2 linked regions of the Arabidopsis thaliana genome follow. The protein of the gene in region 1 interacts with the protein of each later gene in a pairwise test. Each region holds a gene or a part of one and is shown on either strand. Other genes may lie near its edges.

Region 1 (3,754 bases):
GAAAAGAGAGAAGATACACGAAGAGATCGTTTCCTTTCATGTTCCACAAGAGAGTCAAATTAAATATTACCTGATATCGGGCTTTTGGTGGCTGACCTGATGTTCGTGGTGCAGTCCACTGATTATACACAGAAACAGTATCTGGGTCTTCCAAAACTACATCTTTATCTTGCGTTTCTGTCAAGCGCCCATCCTCAGAAGTAATCGTCTTTGTCTCACCAAATGAAGCTCCACTCTCAAAACTAGGCTCAGCCTTTGTGCTCTGCAACAGGTAAAAAAGTAAGATACTTCTCGGATGAGGCATTGTTATATTAATTAGTAGCAATACTTACATACAAAAACTGAAATTTGATCATACGTATAGGCGATGAAAAACTCACATTGATTTGGACATGTACAGCAGGGTCAAGAACAGAGTTAGATGTCCTTGGATACCAACCAGGATCTGCTTCCTTTTGAAAAGTGAGCAATATAGGAAGAAATTAGCCTATGATTAACAAATGAAGAGAAATGAGAATAAACTCCTCTGTTGATATTACCTCCAAGATTTTCACAAATAGACGCATTGCCTCAATGGAGGGCATGGTTCCAAGCCCCTGCCAACTAGTAAACATGTACTTTTCTTAGGAAGCTTACACAGATGACTTTGCTCAGGGAAAGTCATCTTAGAGAATGCCATTATGAGGTCTGCGATCTCGATCTGTCTTTCCATAATGGCATTCTCTAAGATGACATTCCCTGACATGTTACCAGTAATTTTCTTGCATGCTAAAACCAAGGTAGCTCCTATTTCATGTATTCCCCTAGGATGGAAATACAAGTCTAAAATCTACGATACTTGTTGCTGTAGCCCTAATTCATGAGACATCTTGATACTTGTACTCAAAAAAGCTACTTACACATTTGATGATGATACTTAAAAGCCTCTCCAAATGTAGAATAGTATTGACAGACACAAAAGTGAAACCAACCTTTTCCATTTGCTTTGCTCTACTGGATTCCACGCACTCGGTTTTGGAATACTACAAGGTCCTAGAGTAGCCTGTTAACATGTCAAGGCAGAAGATTTCAAAATTAGTAAACATCTTTATCACAAAGATGATTGAATAAATTCTCTCTCAGTGACAAAATAAACCAGTTTTCGCATAGCAATGATCCCAAGTATAAGCACAGTTCCATTGTCTAATGTACGGAGCGAGATCGTACCAACATCTACTGTAGCAAATTGCGAAAGAAGAGAAATCAACAGATCCCTATGGAATTCAATTGAAATCGAATTGACGAACCTGCTGGTGCAACGTGTAGAGAAGCAAAGAGGTATCGTTGGAGAATTTGGAGCTGAGTTGTTTGACCGACGATTGAGATCCGTCGAGGCCGACGTACGATGCGGCGGCGTAGAATCTCTCCGGGTAAGAAAGGCCAGAGCTCGCTCTCACCATGTGAGCCATTTTGTTTCCGTTGATCGGAGATTTGAGGAGGAAGCCACAGTTTCAAGTTTTCGGATTAATACTAATTTGGTTTTAGTTAATTACGAAAACTTGATGCAGCGTTTATATAGCGCGGCACGACAAGTTGCTATTTGCATGCATCAACTTCCAAAATCCAGTTTCTAACGTTTTTGACTTTTTGGCACAAAAAGAATTTGTTATGTTTGACTGATAAATTATGTGGGTGATTAGTTACACAGTAGCCAGGTCCGTCTATGACCCATAAAAGCATAGGCATTTGCATAAGGTAAAATATTTTATGTATAATATTGGCAATAAGTGTATAAGCTCTAACTGTAGAATTTTGACGGTAACCTCTTGGTTTTGTAGATTTGAAAAATATAGGATTTTGGCAATAAATATTTTAGTTGTAACTAAAAATTATGATTAAGAAATATTTGAATTTTATATTTATAAATTACCTTTTTTCAAAATGAGAAAATTGTATATCATAATTACTAAAATTATTTAATAGCAATTATAAAATAAAAACACAAATTGAATTATGCACATCTAGGTAGATGGAATATATATAAATTATTTAATAACAATTTTATAATAAAAACACAAAAAGAATTCTGCACATCTAGGTAAATGGAATCTATATAAATTTATAAATTATTTGTCTAAATGTATAAAATACTTTATCTGTTATTCATATAACTACATTTTAGATTATTAGTTGAAAATAATCGTGACAAAAAGTTAGAGGAGAGAAAAAAAAAAAAAAATCTACAAAAAAAAAAAAATCTACAACACAAAATAGGATGTAGAAAATTAAAGATTTACAGTCAAAACAAAAAGATTTTTTTTGGGGCTCTAAGTTAAAGAAAAAAACTATAACATAATTGGCAACAATTTAGTCTTTAACAAATATATTATGGCTGTAAAAGACATTTAGCACAACCAATCAAGCATCTTTACAAGTTTCATTCACAATCCAAATTTTATTTTCGATGGTTTTTGGTTATTTAATACAAATTTTCATTGTTATTATTAGGATTTGATAGTTACCGCTACACTAGTCATATCCATTTGTTTCTGTGTAAGAACAGATGTGGTAGTAACTAGAAAGTATCAAAATGTCTGGAAAAACTTTTGATCATGTAAAAAGTTGATCATTATCGCAAACAAACCATTTTTGACGATTGTTATGTACACCAAAACTTAAAATAAATGGAAGTTTTGTTATAAATTCATTAACATCTTCAGAATAAACAAAACTTATGGCCAATATCATTGTTATACATAATCTGCTCAAATTTACTAGTAAGAACAACAACGGGGAAGAAACTATAAAAGACGAATTTCTCATTCAATAAGATTAAAACTAAACCAAAGTGCAAAGGAAGAATTGCTAATGGCAGTACGAGAAACTCAACCTATGGGTGGCGGTGCCCCGTTTGGTGTATCATTGGAGCTCCTATGGGACTTGTGTTTTGATCTCTTCTCCCGTTTCTTACTCCTGATGAAGATAAATAGAGAAGGGAGTCAATTGCAGAAGCAAAGCTTATGAAATATATATAGTGGTTAAAAGAATTAGTAGAAGAGAGGTTGTTAGTGTACTCGTCATGTGAAGAACTATGTCCTAGACAAGATTTTAGCTTCCGGTTGATATGCTTCATGTCCTTTTCACTTGGGCACTTGTAGTTCTTTACCTGAGATAAGAGAGAGCATCTAGTAAAACTTCCTTTTAGATATGCAAGTTTCATTGTTAAGATAATTATGGAAGTTAGTAAATACCAAATATTCGATGTTATCAAGTAACTTTGTAAGCTCTGAAGTCGTGTGCTCAGAGTTCGGTTGAGAAACAATGTTCTCTAGGTACCTGCACCAAATGCAGTTTAGTTGAAAATACAACCAGTAAAAAGCTTTGCATATACAGAAATTCAAGACCACGAGATTAATATCATGGAAAGATTAAAAGGGTAAATAATCGGGATGGATATAGAATAAGAGAAATAACCTATCAAAGTCAATCACTCCAAGAACCCCATTTGCAATACGTAACGACGCCAATGCCAACTACAAGGGCACACGTTCAAGAGTTGAGAGACAGTACAACAATTTGTGATACTTCTTTTGTTACATATACGCTAAAGAAAAACGAAAAATCCTGAAAGAAGGAACAAGGTGAGTATATATCGATAAGCTATACTACTATATCATAAACATTCATTAATTTCACTTAAATATCAGTCAAAGAGAAAACAAAGCACCAACTTTCATCCTAAATTTATGTCTTGAGTAGCATATTTAAAGCTTTA
Region 2 (3,754 bases), on another chromosome or scaffold:
AGGGTGATTTTTGCATAGCACCTGCAATGGGATATCGATATATACTTAGTCGAATGAGGATTAACAAAAAAAGAATCAATCACACAATAGGGAAACATACCTCAATGGGAGTTGATATCTTCTTCTCACAGATTTTATCATACTTTTGCTTCTTGTCAACAGCCTTAAGACCCTGCCATGGAAGACTAGAAAAGGACGTTCATGAAATGAGGAACACAAAAAACAGTTAAGTAAATCTCTAAAAACAAGGAATAGAAATACCCTGCGAAATAACATAATGTTAACTAGTTTCTTTCAAAAAGACAACACACCTTCCTCTTAGGAAATACAGAAGCACATATCCCAGCGATTCTAGATCATCCCGTCGACTTTGCTCTGTGAAGAGAACCCAAAATATGAGCAAAAGCGATTTACTTTTACATAAGGATAAAGAATGCCAGCATTTCTTACCAATTCCAAGATGTGTATTGCAACTTGCATATCGTGCAGTTCCTGTTAAATTCTTGTTTTCCCTGAATATAGCCGAATAAAGGAAATAAGTTGTATAATGATTAACGTGACCGTAAAACTTAAAAACAGATAGATCATTTACAATCTGTATATTGAACCAAGGCCACAATACCTGTAAGGGATGTGGCGGTTGGTGTTGGCATCCCGATATCTTTTGGCAAGTCCAAAGTCAATTAGATAAACCTGAAAAATGAGACTTATCAATCATACCATACTCTACTTATGGCATCTGATGAAGATAAGAAGTTGCAGAAATATACCTGATTTGCTTTCCGACCTAGGCCCATGAGGAAGTTATCGGGTTTAATATCTCTATGCAGATATCCTTTCGAATGTACAAATTCTATTCTTGTTAGCTGTAACAGCGGGATAAGAAAATCGGAAGCACATTAGATAATCAATGTATAAGTCAACAGATATTATAAATAGCCTAATGAATAGTTGAAAGTCATGCCATACCATTTGATCAGCCAACATCAAGACTGTCTTTGGTGAGAATTTCCTCCCACAGTAGACGAAAAGATCTTCGAGACTTGGACCGAGCAAATCCATCACTAAAGCATTCTCTGTTCCATCAACTCCAAACCATTTTATGCGCGGAATTCCACCTGACACATAACATAAAAATTAGTATTGTACTGCTAATGAATCCCTCCAATGTCCAACAACTGAGAAAAGAGAGGAAAGAGAATCATACTTCCTCCTTCAAGAATTCTATATAGCTTAGCTTCATAGAGAAGTTGAGGATGCTTTGTTTTACTGTTCTCCTGCAAGAGAAAATGATTGAATTAAAAACAAGTGTTAGCTTGAAGAATATATTGCAGCTAAAAAGCACCGAGTTTAAAACCTTGCTCAATTTTAGAGTAAAGCAATTCAAACAAAATCAATTAAGAGACATAGCAGATCCAAATCAAATCTCCAGATTGGATGGATTCAATTCGTCTCAAGGCAAATTGAGCTGGGACTTACGATCTTAACAGCTACGATCTCGAAGGTATCGACGTGCGTAGCTGCGAAAACAACAAACAGAAGAGAAGAGCGTCAATTTCAAATAAAAAAGCAAACTCGGAAAACCAAAGGGACAAGAACAGAGGAGAACACAAAACCTAGAAAAATCTCTCCGAACGAACCACCGCCGATCTTCCGTCCGAGCTTGTACTTGCCGCCGATGATGCGTTCCATGGCAGCTCCAATCAGAACCGAATCTGGATCAAGCGCAAGGATAGAGATAAGGATTTAGGGTTGTTGTTTAGAAGATTGAAATTAGAGGAACTTAAAAACATATATTATTATTTTTGTTTGACTGACATCGGTGGTAGTGACATGGACCCAGGCTTGTTTGAGCCGTAGTAGTGATCCTTCAAAAAAAAATTTGTACACCTAACTACTGCACCATTTTGGGTCCGCCAATCTTTTTTTACCTTATAAACAAACACGAGGGTATTTACGTGATTTTGTAATGTCACGCTGGCACGGTGGATGATTTGATGATTTCCGTTTTTGGGGTCTGCAAAATGATGAAGGTTCGAAAATTTAATGGGTTGGCTGATTTTCGAGTCATAAACTATTTCGATTCTTAGTTTTCACTCCCGGATTTTTGGGCCCTTAAATTTCCACCATCAATTTTCATATTCCTCAAAATTACATCATCTACTTTCGAATTCATGATTAAACATACATTTTCAATTGAACCATTCATTTAACCGGGATTAACCACAAATCCGCGTTTACTGTACCGCGATTGTGATTAACCCGACTAATACCCAGACCCGTTAAGAAAACGACGTCGTTTTCATTCTTCTTCTTTAACTCTCAAATCGATTTGGTAGTCCTCTTCTTTTGACTTTCATCTCTGTCTCCATCGTCTTCTAGATTGACGTCTCCATCAGACGCTATGTCACCATCGTCTTCTCTATTTTCCTCTCCATCAGAAGCTCTGTCTCCATCTATCCCGACGTCCTCTCCCTCGATTCTGGTGGCTTCGTCCTCCTCGACTCCGCTATCACCACTATCACTTCCATCGTCGGCTTCAATGTCACTCTCTGGAGGTTCGAAATCGGGGTCATCTGGATCGCTTTGGTAAATCAATCTTTCCTCCCACCAATTCTTCATTTCTCCCTATTCGAAACCCAAATCGAGACCCAAAAATTCGAACCGAAGAAGAAAACCCCAAATCCCCTTTTGTCTTTCTCTCTCAAGAACCCTAATTTCACAGTGTCGAGATTAAAGAAGAACGACTAAATCGATTTGAGAGTTAAAGAAGAAGAATGAAAACGACGTCGTTTTCTTTCTCTTTTTGATGAGTTAAACGAAATGAAAACGACGTCGTTTTCTTAACGGGTCTGGGTATTAGTTGGGTTAATCGCAATCGCGGTACAGTAAACGCGGATTTGTGGTTAATCCCGGTTAAATGAATGGTTCAATTGGAAATGTATGTTTAAGCATGAATCCAAAAATAGATGATGTAATTTTGGGAATATGAAAGTTGATGGTGGAAATTTAAAGGCCCAAAAGTCCGGGTGTGAAAGCTGAGAATCGAAATAGTTTATGGCTCGAAAATCAGCCAACCCAAATTTAATCCACTAACTAGTTCTCTACCAAATCGATCAATTCTAGGTGTTTGTATTTCAATATTGAGACTACAATTTTATACGTTTTTTTTTTTTAATAATAGCAATTGAAAATGCATGTTTGGATCAAGTCAAGCTTTTTGATATAATTTTTTTCAATGCACAAAATCGAGTAAGAAAAATCAAACACAGAATACCATTAAACTGAATAGGAAATTCAGAGAAAAAAAAAGGGGGAAGTGTTTCTCGGAGCATTCCAGAAGCTAGCCATAGCTTATCCTTTTACGTTCTCGTCAGCTGCACATTAGCTTGATGGTGACATGTCCCTGCCACAAGCAACTCTTGACTCAAGCCTTTGAAGGCATCTCTGCTGAAGCTGCTCATGCTTTGCTCTTGATTTTCTGCAAACAATGTTGATGACACAGCAAACCCAGGTTATGCCCCAACACAGGGAACTACGTACAGAAATACGAACAAAGTTTTATAGAAGAAAACTTGGGAGAATGAATCACAAGAACCAAATTACACGCCCGGTTGCAAGATTTTATACAAAGGTTGAAGTCAGTCATTTGTGAGAATCTTGAAGGAAAGCAAACATAATCTTCATGCCTTTTGTCAAACAGTAAGCTGTTCATGGAAAAACTCCATTCAGATCTTCAACCTCAGTCTAGAGC

Evidence for each region.
Region 2: the proteins of ACBP5 (region 1) and ckl3 interact in a two-hybrid assay, tested with the Arabidopsis thaliana proteins (one large-scale study listed by BioGRID).

The regions. Positions count from the first base shown.
Region 1 is NC_003076.8:9,773,795-9,777,548, reverse strand, and holds the start of ACBP5 (acyl-CoA binding protein 5), read right to left. Parts: upstream 1,696-3,754; 5' UTR 1,449-1,695; coding exon 1,287-1,448; intron 1,043-1,286; coding exon 972-1,042; intron 604-971; coding exon 540-603; intron 453-539; coding exon 381-452; intron 263-380; coding exon 71-262; intron 1-70. Other genes in the region: CYCH;1 (cyclin H;1), read right to left, coding at 2,870-3,145, 3,231-3,315, 3,454-3,512. UniProt on the Arabidopsis thaliana protein: Binds medium- and long-chain acyl-CoA esters with very high affinity. Can interact in vitro with oleoyl-CoA, barely with palmitoyl-CoA, but not with arachidonyl-CoA. May function as an intracellular carrier of acyl-CoA esters.
Region 2 is NC_003075.7:14,249,289-14,253,042, reverse strand, and holds the start of ckl3 (casein kinase I-like 3), read right to left. Parts: upstream 1,909-3,754; 5' UTR 1,693-1,908; coding exon 1,617-1,692; intron 1,521-1,616; coding exon 1,480-1,520; intron 1,278-1,479; coding exon 1,208-1,277; intron 1,119-1,207; coding exon 970-1,118; intron 867-969; coding exon 771-866; intron 694-770; coding exon 623-693; intron 513-622; coding exon 451-512; intron 376-450; coding exon 312-375; intron 186-311; coding exon 101-185; intron 22-100; coding exon 1-21. Other genes in the region: AT4G28870 (mutator transposase MUDRA protein), read right to left, coding at 2,323-2,622. UniProt on the Arabidopsis thaliana protein: Protein kinase involved in blue light responses (e.g. hypocotyl elongation and flowering) by phosphorylating CRY2 to reduce its stability.